Sus scrofa: one gene and its partners. The protein of the gene in region 4 interacts with the protein of the main gene of each other region in a pairwise test. Links are inferred from orthologs where the notes say so. Each region holds a gene or a part of one and is shown on either strand. Other genes may lie near its edges.

Region 1 (4,092 bases), on a different chromosome or scaffold from region 4:
TGGCCTTGCTGGGAAGGGACAAGATTGGAAGAGAAGACTGGGACCCAGAAGGCCAAATGGAGAGGTTCCTTCCTTCCTACCCCCTGAAGAATGGCAAAGACAAGCCTGAAGCTGAGGGCCCTCCTGTCTGAGGCAGGGTCTTAGCAACCCACCCAAACTAACCTGGGGCTCAGAACCCTCCCTGAACAAGTCAGAATCATGTTAAACTTTTGTTTGGGAACAAGAGGGCAGAGATGAGGCCTAAGAACAGGGAGAAGTCTCCTCCTGCCCTCAACAAACACTTTGAGCTCTCACCAAGGTTCAAGCTGTGGGGGGAGTGGGGAGCCATGCAGAGCCAAGGTGAAGAGGAAGAGCCATTGTGCCATGGACTTTACACATATTTACTCACCAAAGTCGCTGTCCAGATGAGGAACTGAGCAACAGAGATGTTGCAGATCTTGACCAAGGTCACCCAGCTGACAAAACAGGATTCACTCCTGAGTCTAACTGGCTCCACTCCCTGCCTGAGCACTCCAGAAACACAGACTTGTTTTCCTGCAGGTTTGCACTCGGCTCCCCAGTCACCTAGCCGCAGGCACAGGGCCTCAATGCCCACATTTCAAACCACCGTTTTGCCAGCACTTCCTTCCTGCTTAGTCTTTTCTGGCTTCCATCTATTTTCCCCTTGTGCCAGTCAGAGCGGTCATCTTTGGGAACTGGGTTTCCTGCCCACCTCCATCTTGAGCCCCACCTCCATCTTGTGCCTTGGCAGCCCCCTGGGCAGTGGTCATGCCAAGTCATTCTCCAGCTGCTAAATTCCAGGCAGCCAGACCCCCCAGGGCTGTGGTCTGGAAGAAGCTGCATCAGGCTGGAGCTGGAATGGGGGAGCTCTCTCTTCAGATGCATCTGTAAATTTAAAAATTCCTCTCTCAGGGTTCCTGTTGCAGCGCAGAGGAAAGGAATCTGACTAGTATCCATGAGGATGCAGGTTCGATCCCTGGCCTCGCTCAGTGGTTTAAAGATCTGGCATTGCTGTGAGCTCTGACGTAGGTCTAAGACAGGGCTCGGATCTGCCATTGCTGTGGCCAGCAGCTGCAGCCTGGATTCAACCTAGCCTGGGAACTTCCATAAGCCACACGTGTGGCCCTAAAAAGCAAAATAAAGTTCCTCTCCCATCCTAAGAGAGTCTGAGTCTGTTCATAGGTGCCCAAGCAATGAGGGGGTCGGATGGAGCTGGGGCAGGTATCCCCCCTCCCCTACTGGCTCCCTACCTTTCCTCCCACCTACCTGGACACGGACACGTGGGCCCGGAATGTGGGGTGGGGGGGTGCTGGTAGGTGGGAGGAAAGGTAGGGAGCCTCTATCCAAGGCCTCAAGTTCACAAAGCGCCTTAAATTAGACTTCTGATGTTATCGCCAAATGAGGTTTTACACAGAGCCATTGTCTGTTCACGTGTTTGAAGTGTTAATGCGCTAAATGTAAACATTGAAAATATACCACAGCTTTTCAATCCTGTTTGGCATCTCACTTTTTAAATTCCAGGAAGCTCAAAAACGGAAGAAGGAAGGTTCTCTGGAGTTTCTGAGGGGCCTTGATGTATGCCCCCAAAGGAAGAACGCGGAGTGGGGGCTAGGTGGAGGGAAGTTGCGCCCACAAAGGAGCAGTAAGTAATAGGGCAGGAGAGGTGTGGGGACCCCAGAGCCCCGCCCTTTCTGCTGAAGCTCCTGAGGGGCCAGAACGCAGCTCCTCTGAAAGAGTCCTATCCGCTGTCCTCAGTTCTCCTCCTCCTGGCAGCAGGAGTGAGCCAGAGTGACGGCGAGGGACAGGCCCGGACTGGCTGAGGCGGCACGACCGGCGGGGCGGCAGCTCTGGGACCCGACGCTCAGGCAGCACGTTCTCTCCTCAGGTCCAGAATCCGTGTCCAGCCCCAGCCCCGCGACCTGCCTCCCCCGCAGAGAGAGGCCAAGCCAAGAGAGTGGAGCGGCTCCGCGGAGGACCCCAGAAAGACGGAAGAGGCGCGCTCCCTCCCACGGGAAAGACAGATGTGGGGCTACTGAAAGGCGGGCAGAGAGGCGCGGGGCAGGCGGGGGAGAACAGGAGCGTGACCGGGAGAGGAAAGCTCTCCGGAGGGAGCGAACCAGACCACCGGGAGGTCCGCCGCGACGTCGGGCAGGAGCAGGCGCCGGGGAGAGGAGCCAGGAGGGGGCGTGCAATTTGGCCCGAGGGTCCTGAGCTGAAACTCAACACCCGCCTTTAGAGGGAACGTCCCCCTTTCCCCTCCGCCCCTTCTCTTCCCCTCCCTTTTCCCCTCCCTCCTTTCTCTTAATCCCTGGGACTGAGCCCCGCGCCGGAGCGGAGAGGGCCCGAGGGGAGGAGAGAGGAGCTGCACTGAGAGGGCGCCGGGAGCCCGGGAAGGGGAGGGAAAGGGAGCTGCGAGCCGGGGGTGAGCCTCGGGGCCACGCGCCACCCCTCCCCCCGGAGCCTTCCTAGTCGTCTCAGTGTCCCCCAAACCCCACCTTCAGGCGAGTCCGCAGGACCCTGGTCCCTGCTCCTCCTTCGCATTCTCTTTGGTCCTTCTTTTGCTTTGTGGCCTTTCTCTCGGTTCCCAGAGACACCTGGGCTGCCCCGAGCCCTGGGGCGCGCGGAACGGCCCCACAAAGGGTGCGAGTGAGCAGGACGAGGGGGCTGGTTCCGAGGGCCAGGGGGCTGAGGGCTGGAGAGGGGCGGGTGGGCCCCTCTGGCGCGTGGGGAAGGCCGTTCCGCCCCTTCGAGCCGGGCCCTCGCGCGGGTGGCGAGGCGCCGTCGCCGCGCCCCCAGATCCCCGGGCGAGTGTGCCTGCGTGGGAACCCGCCTCCCCAGCGGCCGCGGTCTCAGAGCCCTTCGGCGCCAGCCTGGCCTCCGCTCAGCAACTCGGAAGAGTTTAAAGAGGGACGAACGTCTCCGTCCTGATCCCTCCGCCCTCCCTCGGCGCCGGACCCCAGCCCCAGGAGCACCGCACTCCAGGCCGGCTCCCGGCTAAGGAGGGTTGGCTCCTAAACTCGCTCGTCCAGCCCGACCGTCCCGGCAGCTTCTCCCTGCCCTCGGGGCCGTCCTGAGCGGCCCGGGGAGGCGTCGAGGCGCAGCCCCAGCTCCCGCCTCTTCTCCTTTCCCGGCCCTGGAAGGGAGGTTTGGGCCCATGCGGACCCGGGGTGCCCCCGCGGCCTAGGGCAGGCAGCTCCCCGGCCTGGCCCACCCGGCGGCCCCCGGGAGGCCGCGGGACAGTGCAGAGCGCGCGCCCTTGGATGAGGTCCCGCAGCGACGCCCTGGCCCGCCCCGCTCCTCCTCCTGCCCGACCAAGCTGCCTCCCATTTGGGGAGTTTTGTGGGTTTTCTTTTTCCTCCTCCAACCTCCGCGGAGGCCACGACTCAGGCGCCGCTGCTGGGGGCCGCCTCCATGGTGTGGGGCAGCCGCTGCTGAAGTCAGCGAAACAGCCTGGCCTGGAGCTGGCCACGCGGAAGGCCAAGGCCATGGCCATAGCCACGTCGGTGAGTCCACCAGAGAGAGGAGACTGCTGGGCAGAGACCTCCACAGTTTGTCCTGCACTCCTGTCACTTTGATTTCTGCCTTCTCTTTGTCTGGCTCCTTGGTCTCTTGCTTCTCTAGGTGGTTGTGTCCCCCTCCTGGCACTTTGTTTCCCTCACTCCCTCTTACTCCTCGTCCCAAGCTCCTTCTGGGTCTGGTTTCCCCTTCTCCCTTCCCCCTCCCCATCCTCCTTTTTTTCTTTCTAGAGGCTGTGCCTGGAAGGAAGGGAGGGGGCAAGCCTGAATCCTAGCTACTCCTTTGCGGTGGCCACAGGAACAGATGGCCACTGGCTGTTGGCAGGGGCTTGTGATTGAAGGGCTAGTAAAAGGTTAGGAGGGGGATGAAAGAACGGAGATAGCTCCCAGAAAAGTGGGAGAGGCCAGAGGACCCAAGGAGGCCCTTCCCAGAGGAGGGATGGAGGAAAGGGGAAAATAGAGCAAAAGAGGGAGAGTAGTCAGGGAACAAAAAAAAAAAAAGTGGAGGAGGGGAGGTGATGTCAGCCAGCCTCTGGCCACTTTTCTGGGACTGGTGACAAAGGGAGGAGACAGCTGG
Region 2 (2,502 bases), on a different chromosome or scaffold from region 4:
CCCTTTCCACAAAAACGAATCCAAGTCCCTGGCAGAACATTGGTATTTCTAGTATGTTCGCACACAAATACTGAAACTGCAAATCCATTTATGTCAGAGTCAAGTCTGCATTCAGTATTGCAGTGCAGAATATTTTTAGCATTCCTTCCCAACGTGTGCGATTTCACACAAAGAGACAAGTTCTCTGTGCATTTATTTATTCATTCAGTGGATCGGATGTCCTTTCACCTTTGCTCTCTTTGACTCTTAACATGTGAATGTGGTACCAGTATAAATTTCCAAGTCTGTGACTTGCCTCTTCAGATGCGCCATGAGGTACCGGAGGGTTTCGCAGTGAGCTGGCGGCAGCAGTTTCAGTGCTTCATGGAGGGTTTCTAATTGCTCATCAGGATCCATGATTTCTACAATAGCAAGAGGAATACCACGGAGAGAAAAATTGGTACAAATGGTCCATTTAATTCTATTCTTGTGGTGATCTCCCCATATGGGTAGGAAATGCTTTCTCACCAGTCCTTGCCCACAGTTTTGGAAAATGTTTTCTAAGGTTCAAATCTCAGATTGCCAAAAGTTTAATGTCAGTGTGGCATTAGCATGTTCTTGGACTTTTGGGGAGAGCATGCAGTGTTTTCACTCGAGGGTCCTGGAGTCTGGAAACCATGTATCAGATGTATAGGTTGTAACTATAAAACTGACACATATGTGCATGAGGATGAAAACATATACATTCAAATGAGGTCATCTTAGAACACTACAGACATATTTAAGTGATGCTGCACTGTTCCAAATACTGTGAAAACCTCCTTTCAGCAATGGTATACACAAGCTACACCGGCCCAACGCTCCCTTTTTAAACCAAGAAATGGATCATCCAATATTTACTTCCATTATTCATTAGACTTTTAGTTTTAAATTACTTTGGAATATAAAAAAGTTAATTCTACCTTCAAAGCACAAAAATATTGTACCACTTAGGATAGTCAGGAAAATGCAAGGCAGACTTTGAAATCAATTCCAAATGTTCTGAGTGACAGCAGGATCCCTGAAATAAACATGGCTCTTACGAAGGTATAAATGTTGATGAAGATCCTCTTCCTTTGGATATTTCAGTTCTCTGTTGGCCAAAAAAACCCCCACATTCCTTTAAGGTCACCGAGTACATTTAATTCACCAATTATTCCCATATTCAGAAACAACAAACCTCTTTAAAATTTTGTGCTCTCAAAAAGAGGACCCTAGGAGTTCCCATAGTGGCACAATGGAAACGATTCCGACTAGGAACCATGAGGTTGCAGGTTCAATCCCTTGCCTCGCTCAGTGGGTGAAGGATCCCGAGTTGCTGTGAGCTGTGGGGTAGGTCTCAGATGTGGCTCAGATCTGGTGTTGCTGTGGCTGTGGTGTAGGCCTGCAGCTACAGCTCTGATTTGACCCCTAGCCTGGGAACCTCCATATGCCATGGGTGTGGCCCTAAAAAGACAAAAGACCAAAAAAGAAAAAAAAGACCCAGCACGTTCTTGCTTCAACCCAATTATCAGGAAGATGGGGTGCCCTGAAATGCTGGATAGCAGTGTTGAAATGCTGGAAGGCCACATCTGATCAGAATATAACATTTATGACAATAATCCTACTTTTTCTCATTTATAAAACAAACCAACTCAATGGCAACATATTGGAGTCAAGTTAAAAACTGATATAAGATGAATGTGAAAAGTTCCTAGCACTGGCAGAGCACCGATAAATTTTAGAATGTGAACAGTGACTGAAGCTTTTTTAATTCAAATAAACTTAGGTCATTTTACAATTTCTGCCCAAAGCTTCCCCAAAGTTCTTCATTCATTTCTTAGCAATAAAGAACATATTATTTGCCTTTTGCTATGATAAATAACTCATGGTTCTTTGACCCCTGGGGCTTCTAAAGTGTGCTGATTCATAAGAGCAATAATATCTCAGATCCTGAAATTCAATCACTTAATTTCTAGAATTAAGAGAAAAAAAATCCCATTTAGTTTTTATTTAGCTAGGTTTTTTTTTTTTTTTTTTTTTTAACCTTGGACTGATTTGAAACTACAGTGTTCTAGAAATTAAAAAAAGAGTAACTTGTTTCATTTTTAATTTCTATAATCTTTACAAGGAGACTGTGTGAAAGGGACAGTGTTGGGGGCCTAGCAAATAAGCAAAATTCGCTGCTCATGGAGAGCTTACTTTCTCTGAGAGGTGACTGATAAGAAACAATGACTATTCTATCTTAGAGTTTACGGTAGATTAGAACGAGGCACCTGCTATGGAAAAAGCAGCAGGATAAGAAACACCGGAAGGGCTGAGAAGAGGGTGCAATTTTAAGTGGGGTAGTCAGGATAGACCTGAGGAAGAAGGAAGGTGCTGAGTGCAGACTGTGCATGAGGGAATGAGGCCCATGGAGAGATGCGGGTGAAGATGGTTCCAGGCAGAGGGACAGCCGTGCAAAGGTCCTGTGGGGAGAGTGTGCCTGTAACATCTGAGGAACAG
Region 3 (3,500 bases), on a different chromosome or scaffold from region 4:
AGGGCTTTGGCTACCAAACATCACAACTTGCCTGCATCTTCCTCTCCTCACCGTCCTTGCTTCCCATACAACAGAGGATCTTCCAAAAAACTAAGTCTTGCACATACACGTTAGTGACCGTTCCCTTCTGTTTTCTCAGCAACCCTAGTGATTAGTTCATCCTTATAGTTTAATTCTCTTCACCTGAATCCTTACAACCTAGGCGCTCCACCCCAGATCTTACTTTTCTTTAAAAGATGTTTAGCAAGTTTCCTCCTCATTTAGGTTTTTTTGTTTTTGTCTTTTTTGCCATTTCTTGGGCTGCTCCTGTGGCACATGGAGGTTCCCAGGCTAGGGGTCTAATCAGAGCTGTGGCCGCCACTCTATGCCAGAGCCACAGCAACACGGGATCCAAGCCACAACCTACACTACAGCTCACGACAACACCAGATTGTTAACCCACTGAGCAAGGTCAGGGATCCAACCTGCAACCTCAAGATTCCTAGTTGGATTCGTTAACCATTGAGCCACGACGGGAACTCCCTCCTCCTCATGTTTAGCTCCTCCTCCCCATTTTTCTTTTAAAATGTTTAGCTAGTTTCTGCAAGCATTCCCTCCCCATGAAGCGCCACAATCCCACTCCCATCCAGCTCTTTATTTTACATCCCCTTCCGTCTTGAAATAGTCATTTACTCTTACAGTTTCCATTCACCCTCTGCATCACAACTCTCCCCTTCATGTGGTTCCTGCCCAAGATGTTCCACTGTGGCGGTTCTCCCTAAGACTGTCAGCGATGCCCGTGTTTTTAAATCAAATATCTATCAGCCCTCATACCGGTTCACTTCAACTGCAGTACACTTTGATGTCCACTCCATCCTTCCTGAAACAGTCTTCCTTCCTGGCCTGCCTCTCTGGTCAACTGTTCCTTTTGCAAGCTCTTCCTTCTCTTCCTGGCAATTAAATATTGGTGTTTATTAAGGCTCAAGGTTAAGCCTTCCTCTCGTTTTAATCTAAAGCAGGAGTGGGTAAGCTTTTTCTAAGGAAAAGGCCACAGTTTTTCACAACTACTCAACTCTGCTGTGACAGTAATACATAAATGAATGGGCATGGTTGGTTATGTTCCAATCAAAATGTATGGACAATGAAATAATTTTACATATCATGAAAGTCCTCTGATTTTTTTTTTTTCCCAACCATTCACATCTCTGAAGAGCATACTTAACTCTAAGGACAGACAAAAACAGGTGGTAGACCATGGTTTGCGCATCTTTCTTTTCTTTTCTTTTCTTTTTGGCCATGCCCCCAGCATGCAGAAGTTCCTGGGCCAAGGATCAAAACAATGCCGGATCCTTAACTTGTTGTGCCGTATGGGAATTCCTGGGGGCCCTTTCTTTTTCTTTTCTTTTTTTTTTTTTTTTTGTCTTTTTGCTATTTCTTTGGGCCGCTCCCGCGGCATATGGAGGTTCCCAGGCTAGGGGTCGAATCGGAGCTGTAGCCACCGGCCTACGCCAGAGCCACAGCAACGCGGGATCCGAGCCGCGTCTGCAACCTACACCACAGCTCACGGCAACGCCAACGACGGATCGTTAACCCACTGAGCAAGGGCAGGGACCGAACCCGCAACCTCATGGTTCCTAGTCGGATTCGTTAACCACTGCGCCACGACGGGAACTCCTGAAATTTGAATTCTGATGTTGAGATTATGTGATAAAGAAGTGAACAAACAGGTATTCTAGGTATTGATAAATGCCACTTAGAAAGGGCCCCCAGGAGTTCCCATCGTGGCGCAGTGGTTAACGAATCCAACTAGGAACCATGAGGTTGCAGGTTCGGTCCCTGCCCTTGCTCAGTGGGTTAAAGATCCGGCGTTGCCGTGAGCTGTGGTGTAGGTTGCAGACGGGGCTCGGATCCCGCGTTGCTGTGGCTCTGGCGTAGGCCGGTGGCTACAGCTCCGATTCGACCCCTAGCCTGGGAACCTCCATATGCCATGGGAGCGGCCCAAGAAATAGCAAAAATAAATAAATAAATAAATAAAAATTAAAAAATAAATAAATAAAAATTAAAAAAAAAAAGAATTCAAATTTCAGGAGAGCTTATTCACCACTTAATTCCAGTGTCTAGAATAGTGCCTGACCCGAAATAGACAATATGCACTGAATGAACAAAGACAAGACAGGCATCAGCTTCTTTCCTGTGGTCTTGCTGGGCTGGATCTATTGTAGCTTTATCACCCAAACTATTCAGATTAAATCACAAGACTGCCTGGGCTAACCACTCCTGCTCAAGTGCTTGTTGTTTTATGGCTGGGGTCCTCCACTCATGTGTGTTAGTTAAATCACAGGATACTGGAGTGAGAAGGATCTTTAAATAACATGTGGGCGGAACCTCTCATTACATAATGAACAGATGAGGTCCCGGAGGCCCAGAGAGGTGGAGAGCCTTGCCTGTGATCAGACTACTTATCAGTGCAGGACAGGCCTCAGCATTAGGCCTTCCTTTTGCCCTTTAGGTGAGACAACGCAACTGACTGACCCAAGGTGTTTCAACCAGGGCCTCTATCATACATTTTCCCCCCACCAGGAGAGAGATTGACAAGCCCTTGCTACTCCCACAGAGTTGACAGGGGAGTAGGGGGCCCTGGATACTGCTTGGCAAAGAGAAGGGGAGACTTTTTAGCAGAAGCCGTCTTGGCAGGGACTCTTAAGCCTTACCTGCAGGAGCTCCCTAGTGGGCTGCTGTTGCTTCTCTTCCAGCTGGGCGATCAGGTTGCTGAGGTGGGAGATGTTGCAAGAGAACTGAGTGATGGCACCATTGATACTGTTGTAGATAGCCAAGTCTAGCTCCTCAAGGCGGGCCAGGAGGCGATACTCATGCTCCTTCAAGGAGTGATACAGCTGCTCAAACTCCCAAACGATCTTCTCCCTCTCCATCTGGGTCAGGCTCTGTGTGGATGACAGGGAAAGGCAGTGGAGAGAGGAAAGGCTACTTCTAGAGCCCTTCATAGTTCTCCCCTGACTATCCAGCCCAAGACTTCCTCATTTCATTCAGGTGTACTGAAATAAGCATCGTGTTCCCTCCCTCATTTTTTCCAGTCTTTACTGACTGGATATACAAGAGTTAAGAACTATTATCCCAGGGATAATCAAGATATAGACCCTGCCCTCAAGGAATTGAGTCAAACGAGAGTCAGGTTCATGTGATATATGTAATCATGGATGGATACGCAAAGACAGGGTGACAATCTGCAGTAGAAGCTGACACAGTCTTCACAGAAGCAATGTTCAAGAAGATTCTTGTAAGAGGAATAGAAGTTTGCCATGTGGTCAAAGAGCAGGAGAGCCTTCCAGGCAGAAGAGATGGCATGGGCAAATCTAATGAGTGGGAAGGGGAGGAAAATGGTTGTGTATGGCTGGAGCACATAAGTGCTGGGGAAGAGGCTAGAAAAAGGTAAGAGCCCTGAAGCCTGGCAAGCTAAAGGGCAAGGACTTAACAGCAACTGGGAGCCATGAAAGACTAGCAGG
Region 4 (3,324 bases):
ACTGGACAGCTTCTTCCCTCCTGTCTCACCGGGGGGCCCAGTATTGCTAGGAGCGCGTGGGGTCGCCCCCCGGAGTCTGGGGCTGTGTGAGCACCCAGCACCCGGATCCAGGGCCCCGGCAGGTGCCGCCCAGAGCCAGGCCCGCCGTTGAGGGTGCTGTAGCTCAGGAGTAAGGGCAGCTTCGGTGCATTCAAACCGCGCCCGGGTCCTGAAGGGGGGCCACATGGCGTGAGCGATGTCCACAGACTAAGGCTGTTTCCATGGAGAAGGAACAGGTGAGCCCTGGGCCCATGGCCCCCTCCCCGCCTCCAGAGCCGGCTGGGGGGGCCTGGGATGCCGAAGGGGGCAGATGGAAAACAAACCGACCCGGACAGAAGGGAAACCAGGCGGAGAGAGTGGTGCAGGACGAACCCCGGGGGCCGGCTGGTAGGAGGGCCCAGGATGTGGGCTTCTTCTGGGGTGCATGGCCGGGCTCAGGGAGCGCGGAGCACCCGGTGGTGTCACTGCAGCGCTCGGACGAGGTAGAGCTTCTCCCCGTGCTCACTGGTGAAGATGGGCGCCTTCTTGTAGTGCTCCACCAGCTCGTCCATGGTGTGGAAGCGCCGCTGCCCGATGCAGTAGACATTGTCCACGAGCTGCACCTTGAAATGCTTGTTCTTCCCTGATGCTTTGAGAGACACGGAGAAGTCACTGGGCTGTGGAGGAAAGAGAACACGGGTTAGCCCCGGGCTCGGAGGGACGCCGGGCTCCGCTTCCACCCCGGTGTGCAGAATGGCCCGGGGGCCATGGAGATGCTCATGCTCTGGATCAAAGGAAAAATTACCTTGTGCTTAGTGCAGTTTTGGTGCTAAATGTATTTTAGTTATTTGAAAACTGGAGATTCCTTATGGAATGTACAGCACCAGGGTTCACCAGTGTTAATTTTTTGGTGCCCAAGCTATTCCTTGGATTTGGAAAAAGTGGCAGCAGCTAGAAATTTCACTTCTACCACTATTATTAGTTCAGCCAACAGCATGGTAGTGGCACAAAAATAAGACACACAGATCGAAGGAACAGGACAGAGAGCCCAGAAGCAAACCACACACTTAGGGTCAATTCATCTACCACAAAGGAGGCAAGATATGTAATGGAGAAAGGACAGAAGTGCTGGGAAAGCTGGACAGCTACATGTAAATCAGAGAAATTACAAGACTCTAATACCATAAACACACACCAAAATCTCAAAATGAAAAGACCTAAATATAAGACCATAACACTCTTAGGGGAAAACGTAGAACACTCTTTGACATCAATTGCAGCGATAGTTTTTTGGATCCATCTCCTAAAGCAAAGGGAATAAAAGCAGAAACAAACAAATGAGTTCCTGTTGTGGCTCAGTGGTAATGAACCCAACTAGTATCCCTGGCCTCACTCAGTGGGTTGAGGCTCCGGTGTTGCTATGAGCTGTGGTGTAGGTCACAGATGTGGCTCGGATCCCAGACTGCGTTGCTGTGGCTGTGGTGGAGGCCGGCAGCTGCAGCTCTGATTTGACCCCTATGCTGCCAACTTCCCTTTGCTGCAGGTGCAGGCCTAAAACGACAAAAAACCAACCAAACCCCCCCCCAAAAACAAATGGAACCCAATTAAACCTAAAAGTGTTTGCAGAGCAAAGGAAACCATTGCTAAAACGAAAAGATAACCTACTGAATGGGAGAAAATATTTGTAAATGATGTGACTGATAAGGGGTTAATATCCAACATATACAAACAGCTCATACAAATCAACATCAAACAAACAACCCCAATTAAAAAGTGGTCAGAAGAACTGAACAGACATTTTTCCAAAGAGGATGTGCAGATGGCCAACGGGCACATGAAAAGATGCTCAACATCACTAATCATCAGGGAAATGCAAATCAAAACCACAATGAGGTACCATCTCATACCCGTCAGAATGGCTAGCATCAAAAAGACCACAGATAACAAATGTTGGTGAGGATGTGGAGAAAAGGGAACCCCCGTACACTGTTGCTGGGGATACAAACTGCAAACTGGTGAAGCCTCTACAGAAAACAGTATGGAGGTTTCTCAAAAAAAAACCAAAAAACAGAACTATCACATGATCCAGCAATTCCACTCCTGGGCGTGTTATCTGAAAAAAAAAAAAAAAAAAAAAAAACCCACAAAAACAATAATTCGAAAAGATACATGTACTTTAATGTTCATATTCACAGCAGCACCATTACAATTACCAAGATACCGAAGCAAGAGACAGGAAGGTTTGGCTCTGATTAGGTCTTGGGCTACGTATTATTTTCAGAATCACAGCCCTTAGAGGACTGGGGGCCCGCACAGGCTGGGGAGGGGGACACAGAACCTGAAAATTATCTCCCCAACCAGATGTCTAAGGAAGGAACCCTCATGGGGCAGAGATCTTCTGAGCCAGCCCAGGAGGGCGGGTGGGGATGGGGTGTGGGGGGCCTTGGGTGGACCCTCAAAAAAAAAAAAAAAAAAAGAGAAATGACCCATCAGGGATCCTGATGTCACAGATGATCCTGTCAACCAGCCCTATCAACATCATATTCTAAACAGCACAGAAGGGTACTCTCAGTAATTGTTTGCACAATTCTCAAATCACTGTGATTATCACAGGACTGACAAACGAGATGAATGCAAGCTGGCCTCAGCATCACCATCCAGGTCAGATGCTGTGTGTGGTTCTGAAAAGAGAACAAACTCAAACAGGTATCACCCAACAGGTGCTCTGCACGTGGAAGCCCTGCCACCACTGTCACACTGCAGTCAGTTCGGTGGACGAGGGGAAGCCCTGTGTCCAGCAGCACAAACATGCCAGGACCTGCTCAGCTCTCTCCTGGGGCTTTGTGTTGTCTTGAAGCGACGTTTGGTTTTTTTTTTTTTTTTTAGGGCCGCACCTGTGGCATATGTAAGTTCCCATGCTAGGGGTTGAATCGGAGCTATAGCCACTGGCTTACACCACAGCCACAGCAACGCAGTATCTGGGCCACATCTTCAACCTACACCACAGCTCACAGCAATGCCGGATCCTTAACCCACTGAGCGGGGCCAGGGATTGAACCTGCATCCGCATGGATCCTAGTCGGATTTGTTAACTGCTGAGCCACGATAGGAAGCCAAGCTCCTGCTCGTTTTTATAAGCACATGCATTCTGTGCCTTTAGATAAAGGTCGAGGGTGATCTCGGTTTTAGAGCTTAGCACAAGCCAGGCACTGAGGTAGTTGTATGTACAGCTACTTGAATCAGTTCATCATATGGAGGGAGTAGGTGACTCAGAGCTGGTAGATCATAGACTCAATATTCAGCAAG
Region 5 (3,500 bases), on a different chromosome or scaffold from region 4:
AGGAACTGGGCGAAGGGTGTGCCCAGATGCTCTGGGAGAGGGACATACAGAAGTCTGCAGCCCTGTCCTACCCCCCACCCTGTCCAGCCTCCTTGGTTTCCTGTGAACCCTGGGGACACTCTGTCAGGTTAGGGTCGGTGGGTCCCCAGCTCCTCAGACCACGGGTCCCATCTCCAGCTGGCTGTGGGCCAGCGACCTGCCTTCTTACCATAGTGTGCGTAGGGCACTGCCTCCCCCATGGAGAAGATCATGGCCAGGATGAGGGCAGAGTAACAGAGTTTCTGGTGGTCTGCAGGGGAGCGGAGCAGTCAGTCATGACCCCTACAGATGGTGGGACCCCTCCAGCTGGCAGGAAGCTGCCCGCACTCACCCTGCGTGTCTGTCTGCATGTCCCGCGCTAGCTCCACAGGCAGCACAGATGACACCAGCGTGGAGATGATGGCCGCATCCAAGCTGCACATGGCACCAAAGCACTTGAGAAGCAGCAGCCGCAGTGACACCCGGTGCTCCTGGCAGGGGACCCCATGTGCTCAATGCCCGGAAACTCTACCTCTACCCAGGTCCCTCCATGCCCCCTCCCCTCTGTCTCGCACACACCATTTGGTAGTAGGCCACCAAGGCCAGGACAGACTCGAACTCATTTCTCTTGCACATTTTCTTGCAAACTTCAGGGTCTGCGTCTGTCTGTGGGGAGGAAGAGGTGGGATGGAGACACTGAGTGCCAGTGGCCATGTGTGAGCACAGTATCAGCAGGGGAGACTCCTGAGCACCTGGGAGGAATGGGGCAGGGAAGGGTTGCTGTTCTACACACTAAGGGACACTTGGGAGCCCCCCACCCGCACCAGAATGTGCAGCAGCTCCTCCAGGTAGCAGCGGATGACACCTTCATCCTCATACAGGGCCCAGCTGCGCTGCTGGGCATCATCCTTCCGCCGGGCCAGGTCTGCAAAGATCACCTCCAGCCGCTGCTGGTCATGGCAGACCTGCCCTGAGGGCAGAGCTGTGCTCAGGTCCTGGGGAGGAGAGGGTGAGGCCTGGCTCAGCACACTTGCCCCTCACCATCTTCAGGAGACCCCCAGGCCTGGAACTCAACTCAGACCTGAGGTGTTAGGCAAGGGGCTCCAGCCTCACCTCCCAGAGCTGCCCCAAGCCAGCATCCTCCCAAGACCAGTGAGGGGACTAGCTCCTATTACTCTTCCCTCCTCCCCACTGCTCCCCATCAAGCTCCCATAAAATTCCTGTTCCCAAGGCCCATCCTTCAACAGTGAGGCCCCCAAGGGCACTGGCCCATTTCTATACCCCTTTCTCCAAGTAGTTCCACTGCCCCCAAGTCTTGGTAACCTTGTGGGACAGGATTCTGCATGAGACACATCTGTGGGGTGTTTTCCAACAACTTGCCTCCTGTACCAGACCTGGGTAAATAACCTCTATGTGGAAGGCCATGGATTCTGTCATTGCCTGAATATGACTCTGAGACTCCAGGCCTTGATTCTACACAAAGTGGAACCAGACCTGTCATGTACCCACCTTCCATGTCCCTGTGGGCCAGTGTCCCAGCACCGGCAAGCCCAGTGACTCACTGCTTCCCACACCCCAAACCAGAGCTGTGGGAGCCATGGAACCCTGAGGAGAGACTCCAGCCCATCTGGCCCCCACTGTGCAGACTGGGCTCATGGCTTCTAATCCTGCTCCGTGACCCAGTGCCCCAACCTTGGCAAAGGATCCCACCCACTCCATGATGTCCACTTACCCCACTCAAATCCAAGTCAGCACTCAAGCCTTCATCATAGCTCTCAAAGTACCCATTTCTCTCCACTGCCAAGGCCAGCAAGGCACTGCCATCTCTCATGCCCTATGTCTATTCCTTCCCTACAGCCCAAGAGAACTCTTGGCCACCCGCATCTGTCTCATCTGTCACCTGCCTCAGGTCTCACCTGCTCCCACACCTCATTCCCTGTGTTCCAACCATGCTGACCTTATTCCACTTCCTCACGTGAGCCAAGCTCAGTCCTGCCTCATGGTCCCCTGTCCAAGCTGAGCCTCTGCCTGGAATACTCTTCCTCTTCTTCTCCTTCAGGGATCAGCCCAAATGTCCCCAGCACTCAGCTCAATGAATCCAAGAGCTGGAGCTCATCAAATATATATCAGTTAAAGGCTGGACACAGTGTGAGGGTGGGGATGGGGTGGGGGCAGTAGGGTGTCCCCAGGATGGGGAGGCCCCTGGCCCTGCTGCCACCCTTACCTTGCCCTCTACCAGCGAGAGGAGGACCTGCTCCATGACAGGTGAGCTGGCCGGTACAGAGGCCTGGATGTGACCCACCACGACACCAATGGCCACCCGGCATAGCTCATGGCTCAGGCCGGTGTTTCTCCGCACAAGCTCCATCAGCTCTGCCCCGATGGTCCTGGGCACGGCAGTCTCAGCTGCCGCCTTCTCCTCTGTGGTTCCCAGGCTCAGCGTGCCCAGGGCCTCCAGCTCATCAGGGGCTGAGGCTGTATCAACTGCCACCTCCTCTGCAGGGGGCTCAGGGTTTGGCACCTTGGAGGGAGGGGGCTGAGCTTGGGACACAGTAGTATGGGTGCTTCGGCGGGGCACAGGTGGGGGTGTGGGTGAGCAGCTGGGGCCCAGCTCAGAGGAGCTGGAGCCTGTATAGTACGTGTCAAGGGAGGTGCTGCTGACAGAGGAGCCGCTGGACACAGAACTGCCCCCGGAGGGCGTGGTATTGCAGCCGCCTGTAGGCAGAGAGGGCATGCTATGGTGGGCAGCCCCAGGGAAGCCCTACCCCTTCAATCCCAGAGACCCTGCCCCCAGCATAGGTCCTCCACCAGACCTTTCCCACCAAGCCCAGAGCCCCCAACTGCCCCAACATGTGCCTGGTCTTCCCCCCAAGCCTGGAGCCCCCAGTTCCCTGATGCATGCAGAGCAACCATTCCAAGTACAGGGTGCCCACCAACTCCTGCAACCCCAACTTCTCACCACTCCCTGAGGCCACCAGGGCCTCGCGGTCTCGGCGCTTCACAGGTGGGGGTGGCGTAGTGGGTGCTGCTCGGCGAGGCTGTGGTGGGATCTAGGGGGACAGAAGTGGGATCTGAGGAGACAGGCTGCCATCTACAGTACTACCTGACTAGGGGCCTGAGCTCCTAGCATGGGCAGGACTATGGTCCCAGGCAGCATCACTGACCAAATGGACCCTTTGAGCCTCTGGACAAAGCCTTAGGCCCCACCCCCCTCCCTTCCCCAGGATGTTCTCACCATGTACCTGGTAGAGGCCTCCATCTGCCCCAAGATACTCAGAACTGGGCAGGCTGTGCTGTCGCTCAAACCCAGCTCGACACACCCCATTGGGCTGCCTAGCGGCAGCCGTATCCAAATGATGGTCACTGGTGGATGAGGTCATAGCTGCAGGGCTGGGGGCTGAGGGGCCTCTGCGGGACAGGGTCTCTTTCCGGTGGTGGATCAGCTTCCTAAGGGAGGGACAGGGATTACTGGAGGAGTTACA
Region 6 (4,080 bases), on a different chromosome or scaffold from region 4:
AAAAATGTAATGTCTTACACTTTCTGCAACAGGTTTATAATGAGCTTTACCAAAATACACACATGGAAAAAAGGATCATAAAAGTATGGCCATTTAAAACAGAAGAAAATGGAAAATACATAAACTACAAAGAATTTAAGAGAATACAGTTTAATTAAAGGTTGTTTTTAAATGTTTACAGTAGTTTAGAAGTCAAAATAAGCCATGACCCATTATATTTAGCAAAACATTTTACTCGACTACAACAAAATAAGAGTCACTTTACTAGAGCAACCAGTAGAAGTAAGGTTGCCAGCGAATTAGAAAGTGAATTAAATCAATCACAGTAATTCTGTAGTTGCTTCTAATTCTGACAAGATTTCAGAAAAATATTTCAATGATACCTACATTTTTTTAAATGAAGGACAAACCTTGAAAACAACCAACCATCTTTTTGTGGCCATATTTCAACCAGGAACTACCACAGCAAGCAGTAGATTGCAAAGGCCAATCAATGCACAATAACAACAACAAAGCCTCTATTTAATTCCATTAACCTATTCAAAAGTACAAAGATTTTATTGGTAAAATCATACAACTATGTGAGAAACATATGCTATAGGAACAAGTCAACAAAAAGTTACATTTTTACAAGAACCCTATAAAGCAGTTCCTCATTGGTGCCACAAAATTTTAATCTCTCCTTACCTCCTGCTCAGTCAGCACTAGTTACTGCACAGGGATAAGCAAGTATCACTCCATCCAGCTATACAGATTAGAGAAATGTCCATCCCAAATTAAGTATGCCAAAGCTTAAAAAATGTTCCATTAAAAGGTTCTGAAGAAAGCTCAACTTCTAAAAGTGTAGCTCAATTCTTCTTTTAACATGGGGAGAAAAACAGTAAATTTTCTTGTAAGAAAGCTAACGAAGACTGTTGAACACTTAATTGTTCCTTTACTTGCAGATATGGACCTCTTTTCTATGCAATGTTATACTCATTTAATAAAAGGAAAGGAAATTTCCTAGAAGTCTTTGTCTACAGACCTTAAAAAAGCTTAGAATCTGACCATGTAGCACTCAAGGTAATTTTCTAAAATGTCATTGACACATCTCAGGAATCACATATCCAAAATGTAAACACAATAAAAAGAAGACAGATTTTCAAACTTCACGTTTGATTACAACGGGTTACATTTAAATATATAAACGGAATAGGAAACATTAAAGCTAACTGAATTTTTTTTCTAATATTTAAAACAGGGATACAATCAATCTTCAAAAAAAGACCTGCAAGGATTTCCAGCTTTCTCTATTAAAAAAAAAAAAAAATCTTGCGTCACAAATAAGAGTCTTAATGGAGAGGGTTTTTTCGAAACCCACAAAAACACATTAACCAGTAGAATTTTACTGAGCTTCTCATAAGGACTTGGAAAATATGAAAAAAATAAAGCCTTTACGTACACTGCAGTCGGGCACAATTTGATTTTTTTAAAATGTGTTGCTACATAAAAGGCAGTAAAAATGTGAACAGTAGGTTTACAGCTTAAACGTCACTACTCTAGTAACAACCTTTTACAAGGATGCTCAACATCAGACATCACAGCTCCTGCGGCTAGTCCTTCTAGGCAACTGCGGCCTGCGATACAAGAAAAAAAACCTTGCATTCTCACTTTCTCTGGCCTCTCTTAACTCCTCGGAGGACACTAAACATTTTGCTTTTGGAAATCGGTTCATTGCTACAACCTTTATTTTAAAACTATACCATATGAAATGCGTGTGAAATTCTTTAATCACAACTCTGATCTCTTGGTGAGCTACCTTTTTTATTCCATCCAACCATCGCGCTTCCAAGTCTTCCTTTTGGCCCGAGCCACCGATCTAACTGGTATTTTCATCACAAAGGCCAAGAGCAGCTGGGCCTCAAAGGCACCGTAAGCCCTCGACCACCGGGGCAGGGCCAGCGCCACCGACTTTCACACACGATCCCAAGTCAAAGGACTTGTTGCAAACGTGCCCGCACCTTAGCCTCCTTCCTAAAGAGTGAAGGGAGGAGGAGGAAGGCACCACGCCGAAACCTGTCGCAAACGCGAGCAGGAGAGCCCAGGAAGCAGGGCGCGCGGGATACAAAGGGCCGTGAACGCGGCCTTCCATGAGGCGACCGTGCACCGAAAGGCAGACAAAATGGAGCGACTGGAGGAATCGGAGTCCGAGCGGCAGGGCTGGGGGCGAGGCGGCGGCCGGCGCGCGCCCCGCCGGGCTTCCTCCTCGCCCCGGCGGCGGGGGAGGGGGCGCCGGGGCCGCCGTTCTCCCCGCCGCGCACACGCCGTCCTGCCGCCCGGGCCTAGCGCGGCGGGAAGCGCCCGCCGGCCGCCGCCAACAATGGAGAGCGAGGCGGAGGCGCGGGAGGGGCAGGAGGTGGCTGCACGGCGGCCGGCGTCCGCGCTCGGAGCCCCGTGGCAGGTCGCCGCGCCCGCGGCCCGTGAAACGACGCGGTAGAACGACGGGCAAGGGGGGCGCCGCGCCGGGGTCGGGCGGCGCGGCCCACAGGCGCCAAGGGCGCACGGTCTGCAGCCACGCCGGCTCGCGGCCCGCGGCGGGCCCCGAGTCCTCTTCCCGCCCGTAGCGCCGCCCAACTCGGCGGCGTGAGCCCGGGCCCTCACGTACCTGGTTGAACTCTTCGCCCACATCCGCGTAAATGTCTATGTGGTCCACACCGTCCGCCATCTTCCCTCGGCCTCGGCCGCCGCCGCCGCCGCCGCCTCCTGCAGGTCCGCCAGCCGCGGCAGCAGCAGCGGATCTAGCGGCGGGGGCGGGGCGCGCTGCGTCACTTCCGAGGCCCAAGGGCCGAGGCGGGGGCGGCCGGGGGCGCCGGGCTCCTCAGCCGCTGCCGGCTCGGCCCGCCGAGAGCGGAATCTGCAGCTCCCAGTGCACCGGCGGTTTCTTTTGTGTGTCTGGGTTAGGCTCGGGGGGCGGGGCAGGGGGTGGTCCCACTTGTTTCCAGAGACTGTTGTCTCGGAGCTCTGGCACTCTCAAACGTTTGGTAATATTTGCATTTGTCGGCTTTTCTTATATTTCTCACAGCCAGGGTTTTTAGAGAGGTGGAAGTTTTAGGTCCAAGATGAAATACGAAGTGTAACCCCGCTTTCTGTGAGCGCCTTGGGAAGAGAGCAGTGTCTTACCCCTGTATCTTCAGAGGGCTACTGAGATAGGGTTGCCTTGTAAAAACTAGGTACCCTAGAAGGTTATCTTGAGTTATTTGCATGCTACTTAGGTTATTTGCATGCTGTTTATCTTTCCATTGGTATCTCCCTCCTCTTCTTTAATCTCTTCTTCCTCCCTTCATTGCCTTTCATTTTTTCCTCCTTTGATCTGCAGTTGGTTTTCTCTGGAGTAATTGAAATGCCGTTAACACGAAGGCAGTCCTTCTGGGGTTCGTCCCCCCTCCCCTTCCCACCACCACAGTAAGGTAGAGGTATGTTGAAGCGAGGGGCCTCTTAGAATCACAGAATATCGGAGAGGGAACTGGAAAAGGTGTCATTAGGTCCAAATATCTAATTTTACAGATGAGAGAGGTAACTGAGGCCTAAAGAAGCTAAATAGTGTATCCGAGTCTCGGGTTAATAAGGAAAGCATTTGCTGCCAATGAATGTAGTAGTCCCTCCTTAAAGAAGGTTCAGATCCTTAACCCACTGCGGAAAGCCAGGGATTGAACCTGCAACCTCATGATTCCTAGTCAGATTCATTAACCACTGAGCCAGGATGGGAACTCTGTGAGTAGAGTCTTGAAATCTCTAGCCATCCCACTCCAACCAGCCCTGGAAGTGAATCATCTCTCTGTTTAGCACCTCTTACACCGTACCTGTTAATAGAGGAAAAAACAGTATATGTAGAGTTTAGTACTATCCACAATTTCAGGCATCCACTAAGGATCTTGGAATATATGCCCTCAGGTAAGTGAGGACTACTGTACTTTATCCAAAGTTGTCTCTCCAGCTTGAAACCTCCCATTCTTTACTTCTTTTCACCCTTTTTAAAATCCAAGTTAGACTGTTTCATAAGATGCATACTGCCCAGAAATCATGATAAGCCAAGTGATATCT
Region 7 (3,970 bases), about 40 Mb from region 4:
CCCCATGGCCCGCAGAATCCGGTCCAGGATGGGCTGGGAACAGGTGGAGCACTTCTCCAGGGTGGCCTGTCAGGAAGGAGAGCAGGAAGGTCAGGGCTGGGGTGACCCATGGCAGCCCTTACAGGCATCCTGCCAGCTCCCCCACCTATTTATGTAGCCCCCTGCATGTGATTCAGTTAAAGGTGGCCTTGAACAGGTATGCGTGCAAATCCTAGCACTGCAGCTTCCCCAGACAAGATATTTAAGCTCTCAGACCTTCAGTTTCCTTCAGGAGTAACAGCTGCCTCACCAGGGCATTGTGGGGATTCAGCACATTCCCCTAAACCGAAAATAAATGCCTCACTCTTACAGGGGAATGTTGTCCTTTCTCTCCAGCAACCAGTATACAGCTACTTATTTCATCCATGCCTTTTTCTTTATTAGTTTTAGTTCTCCTGCTTCGAGCCTTATTCTTTGGGGCTTGGACACCTAGTTCCCACTCTGGATGGAAGCCCCCTGCTTCCTGCTGCTGACTCCATCTGCCACCACCCCCCGCCAGCCCCCACCACTCACCACATAGCAGCTCTCACAATACGCTCTCCTCTCCACGGCATAGAAATGCTGGCCCCGGAGATGGGCCCGGCACGTAGAACAGACAAAGCAGCCAACGTGAAAGACACGGTCCAGGGCCACAACCCCGGCCCCATCCCCAACCACATCTTCTCCGCAGCCACCACACCGGCCTGGGGACGGGATGGGTCAGGGTCAACCATAGACTGGGAAGCCAGACCCACTGTCTACCTGACCTCCCCCCACCCCCTGCCCGGGGTGTGTGGCGGGGGGCAGCTCACCGAAGTACTCCCCACTGGGCGGGTGGTTCATGTCCTGCACCAGCTTCTTGGTCAGCCTCTCAAGTTCCTCCTCGGGAGGCTGGCTCAGGGGGACCTGGGAGGTGAGAATCAGGGGTTCAATCCTACCTCTCCCTCCCAATACTGTCACCGAGAGTGATCAGGCAATTCCACCCAAAAGCTCACAGGAGAACACCCCAGCCCAGGGGCCAGGGGTGTGCCTCTGGGAGCCAGTGTGCAGATCTAGTCCCCTCCCTCCTTTATTTCCTGACCTGCCCCCCGCCCCCAGGGAATCCAGAGCTTGAAAACTGGAACATCAACCCCCACCCCCACCCCACCCAGTCAGCATCCAACTGTCTTTGAGGACCCCAAATCCCAGGGCCCAGGGCTTACCTGGGGCCCGTACCCGCCTCCTCTTCCTCCCGGAGGGCCGGAGACTCCGGCAGCCTCCTCTTTACCCCCTGGCCCTGGCTCACGGTGGCTCCTGTAGCCAGCCCCCCAGACTTCACCTCGGCCTGGGAGAGGAAAGTGGGGGCCGGGGAGGGGCCCCGAGGCCTGAGGGGCCCCCCGCCTGGGGGGGCCACAGCCTCTCACTGGTTGTGCCACCTTCACTTGCACAGGGAAGGCAGGGCCGGCGGGGGTGCTGGCCGTAGCATAGGAGGCCGGCGTGGGGCCGCCATAGGAGGCCGCTGGGAGTGGTGTGGGAGGAACACTCCCTCCATTCGGCTTCAGGGAGCCAGGGCCTGAGCGGTAGGCAGGGAGCTGATGGGGCTCATAAGCCTGGAGAGAAGCACAGACCAGAAGGCATGAGCTGGGCCCAATCCAGAACACACATCTGTGGAACCCCTGAACCCTGTGTCTGTGGCACCCAGGTAAGCACTGGTTTTGACAAGGGCCCGTCCTTGAGTGGCTGGCAACCTAGTACGTTTTGGTGGCCCAGCTTCCTCCTCGCTGGTGGGTGCATCCCCCATGTGGAGGGAGAAGAGGAGTGAGAATACAGAGCAGGAACCAGGTTGCGGGGGAGGGGTGGGGGACAAGGACAGGGAGGGACAGGAGCGGGGAGTCACCTGCCGGTCAGGCCGCCGTGGGGCGTGACCCCGACCCCCGTCCAACTCAGCCAACATGCTGGTCAGGGAATCTATCTCAGCATCCAGACTTCCTGGGCGCAAGGCCCCCCTGTCCGGGGGGAGCCCCTGGAGATAGAGCAAAAGCAGGGAGAATGCAACTCATATGGCCTCTTCTCCTGCCCTAAGTCCCCCCCACACCCCCTAATCGCGGTGCTCACCTGTGAGCGTTGGGGTGCTCCATGGCACCCCACCCAGGCCAGGCCCGGATCCTCCGGTCCCCCAGGGGCCTGGTAACACTGCTCAGATGGGAGGGGGCAAAAATTGACCCTGGGGTGGGACTGGAGTGCTGGGGTGAGGGAAGAGAGAGCCAAGGTGGGGATGGGGAAGGAGAGGAGGGTGACACTTGTGGAGGCCACCGGTCTTGGGTCCCTCTTCACCCCTCTCCCCCCGCATCTGGGGTCCGAGAATGGGGCAGGAGGCAGTGAGGGCTGGGAGAGGGCGAGGGCGGGGGCGCGGCGGGTTCCAGCCGGGCTTGGGGAAGGGGCGACAGGGGCAGGCTCAGCGGGAGGCAAGAGCAGCAGGGCAGAGTTGAGTGTTGGTGGCCCGGTGGCCTCCGCACCGCACTGGGGCTGCCTTACCTGCTCCGTGGGCTGGCGGCGGCCCGGAGGCGCCTCGGGGGAGCGCTCTCCCCTGAGGGGCTCTGGCGGGCTCCGGCTGCTTCGGGGGGAGCCAGGTGGGCCCGGACATGGTCTGGAATGGGGGACTCCAGACAGCGGTCAGGGCCCCACGGAGCCCAGGGCTCTGACTTTGACCCCTTCTTCCCCCCGACACCTCGCTTGGGACTCCAGGACAGAAACTTTTTCTGGCTTTTTTTTTTCCCCTTCCTCCCCAATTTTGGGGACGGCCACGCCCCCGATGACGTCATCGCATTCCTGGGGGAGGGTCACGTGGCCCCCTAGGCCCTAAACTGCCGTCCCTCCCCTAGTCGGCCCCCTCCTGCGAGCCGGGGCGGCTTTCCTCCAGAGCGTGGGCCCGGGGGGTGGGGGTGGGAGGCTCAGGCAGCCTCCTTTAACACGGGGCTCTTGTGCCCCAAGTCCGCACGTGGCCCCCTTGCGCTGGGATGCTCCAGTGCCCCTCCCCGCATACAGATTCGTCCCGCATTCTGTCCCCCCTACCGGCTCCCTCCAGAAACGCTCGGCCAGCACCTAGTGTTTTGGTCTTTTATTCACATTCAGCAGTTAGAAAAATAAAACGGAACAAAAACATCACAACCTCAAGGGTGAGGAGTCTACTGGGCAAGGGGCGGGGAGACTGAGGTAGCCTAGAGTCACAAGCGGAGACCCAGCCCCGTCAAGGCACCAGTGAAGGGAGGGAGGCCAGCGTGGGGGAGGGCTGCTGACTTCTCGCCAGTGGTGGCCGCCGGCTCAGCTGCCCTGGGCACAGCGAGGACCCTCTCCCAAAGACCAGGTTCCCCTAATACCTCCACCAGGGTCCGAGTCCCAAGTACAAGGAGGGCAAGAGGCAGCACCTCCCCTCCTCAACCCGCCAAGCAAAGTGGGCCACTCGACCTGGACACTCTCTACTAGGAACCGGCATCAGAGATCAGTGCAAGTGACAGGGGTGATGCCATGAATGAGCAGCGTGGGGCCCAGGTCATGGCTCAGAATTTCCAGCAGCGCCAGGTAGCGAGGGTAGCGAGAGGGATCAGCAGGCGGCCGAGGCAGGTACAAGAACGTGAGGGCGGTGGTGGGCCCTTCCTCGCCATCCCCACCCTCAGGCCCACCAGGCCCTCCTCCTCTGCCGCGCCCCTGCTGGGCCCGAACCAGGGCGTTGGCGCTGCGTGCCAGGGCCTCTGCCTCTGCGTCTCCGCGCCTGCCATTCACAAAGTCCCCCTCCTCCTCCTCCTCAGGCTCCTCGGACCCAGCCCCCTCACCCCACACAACCTCCTGCACCTCTGCCCGGATCCTCAGCTGGCTCAGCAGTGCCCGGAGCCGCCCCTCGGCTGCCCCTGGGGCCTCCCGAGGCCCCAGGCACAAGAAGATCCGGAGGCGGGCAGTGTGCCAAGCAGGCACCATG

The links.
Region 1: the proteins of NCK2 (region 4) and EFS interact in a two-hybrid assay, tested with the Homo sapiens proteins (2 studies listed by BioGRID and IntAct). The two-hybrid records come from large-scale screens. The link is inferred for Sus scrofa from reciprocal best matches to the Homo sapiens genes NCK2 and EFS.
Region 2: the proteins of NCK2 (region 4) and CHN1 interact in binary tests that used the Homo sapiens proteins (3 or more experiments, as listed by UniProt). The two-hybrid records come from large-scale screens. The link is inferred for Sus scrofa from reciprocal best matches to the Homo sapiens genes NCK2 and CHN1.
Region 3: the proteins of NCK2 (region 4) and TRIM27 interact in binary tests that used the Homo sapiens proteins (3 or more experiments, as listed by UniProt). The two-hybrid records come from large-scale screens. The link is inferred for Sus scrofa from reciprocal best matches to the Homo sapiens genes NCK2 and TRIM27.
Region 5: the proteins of NCK2 (region 4) and NCKIPSD interact in binary tests that used the Homo sapiens proteins (3 or more experiments, as listed by UniProt). The two-hybrid records come from large-scale screens. The link is inferred for Sus scrofa from reciprocal best matches to the Homo sapiens genes NCK2 and NCKIPSD.
Region 6: the proteins of NCK2 (region 4) and CPSF6 interact in binary tests that used the Homo sapiens proteins (3 or more experiments, as listed by UniProt). The two-hybrid records come from large-scale screens. The link is inferred for Sus scrofa from reciprocal best matches to the Homo sapiens genes NCK2 and CPSF6.
Region 7: the proteins of NCK2 (region 4) and TRIP6 interact in binary tests that used the Homo sapiens proteins (3 or more experiments, as listed by UniProt). The two-hybrid records come from large-scale screens. The link is inferred for Sus scrofa from reciprocal best matches to the Homo sapiens genes NCK2 and TRIP6.

Annotation. Positions count from the first base shown.
Region 1 is NC_010449.5:75,718,948-75,723,039, forward strand, and holds the start of EFS (embryonal Fyn-associated substrate), read left to right. Parts: upstream 1-1,292; 5' UTR 1,293-3,260; coding exon 3,261-3,503; intron 3,504-4,092. UniProt on the Homo sapiens protein: Docking protein which plays a central coordinating role for tyrosine-kinase-based signaling related to cell adhesion. May serve as an activator of SRC and a downstream effector. Interacts with the SH3 domain of FYN and with CRK, SRC, and YES.
Region 2 is NC_010457.5:80,733,245-80,735,746, forward strand, and holds part of CHN1 (N-chimaerin), read right to left. Parts: intron 402-2,502; coding exon 296-401; intron 1-295. UniProt on the Homo sapiens protein: GTPase-activating protein for p21-rac and a phorbol ester receptor. Involved in the assembly of neuronal locomotor circuits as a direct effector of EPHA4 in axon guidance.
Region 3 is NW_018084804.1:142,269-145,768, reverse strand, and holds part of TRIM27 (zinc finger protein RFP), read right to left. Parts: intron 2,922-3,500; coding exon 2,691-2,921; intron 1-2,690. UniProt on the Homo sapiens protein: E3 ubiquitin-protein ligase that mediates ubiquitination of various substrates and thereby plays a role in diffent processes including proliferation, innate immunity, apoptosis, immune response or autophagy.
Region 4 is NC_010445.4:49,064,534-49,067,857, forward strand, and holds the end of NCK2 (cytoplasmic protein NCK2), read right to left. Parts: intron 696-3,324; coding exon 501-695; downstream 1-500. UniProt on the Homo sapiens protein: Adapter protein which associates with tyrosine-phosphorylated growth factor receptors or their cellular substrates. Maintains low levels of EIF2S1 phosphorylation by promoting its dephosphorylation by PP1.
Region 5 is NC_010455.5:31,371,185-31,374,684, forward strand, and holds part of NCKIPSD (NCK-interacting protein with SH3 domain), read right to left. Parts: intron 3,466-3,500; coding exon 3,261-3,465; intron 3,069-3,260; coding exon 2,978-3,068; intron 2,734-2,977; coding exon 2,243-2,733; intron 1,014-2,242; coding exon 843-1,013; intron 685-842; coding exon 598-684; intron 510-597; coding exon 371-509; intron 290-370; coding exon 209-289; intron 32-208; coding exon 1-31. UniProt on the Homo sapiens protein: Has an important role in stress fiber formation induced by active diaphanous protein homolog 1 (DRF1). Induces microspike formation, in vivo. In vitro, stimulates N-WASP-induced ARP2/3 complex activation in the absence of CDC42.
Region 6 is NC_010447.5:33,524,388-33,528,467, reverse strand, and holds the start of CPSF6 (cleavage and polyadenylation specificity factor subunit 6), read right to left. Parts: upstream 2,801-4,080; 5' UTR 2,705-2,800; coding exon 2,645-2,704; intron 1-2,644. UniProt on the Homo sapiens protein: Component of the cleavage factor Im (CFIm) complex that functions as an activator of the pre-mRNA 3'-end cleavage and polyadenylation processing required for the maturation of pre-mRNA into functional mRNAs.
Region 7 is NC_010445.4:8,712,051-8,716,020, reverse strand, and holds the start of TRIP6 (thyroid receptor-interacting protein 6), read right to left. Parts: upstream 2,801-3,970; 5' UTR 2,642-2,800; coding exon 2,533-2,641; intron 2,241-2,532; coding exon 2,113-2,240; intron 2,021-2,112; coding exon 1,895-2,020; intron 1,608-1,894; coding exon 1,221-1,607; intron 925-1,220; coding exon 831-924; intron 723-830; coding exon 553-722; intron 67-552; coding exon 1-66. Other genes in the region: SLC12A9 (solute carrier family 12 member 9), read right to left, coding at 3,490-3,970. UniProt on the Homo sapiens protein: Relays signals from the cell surface to the nucleus to weaken adherens junction and promote actin cytoskeleton reorganization and cell invasiveness. Involved in lysophosphatidic acid-induced cell adhesion and migration.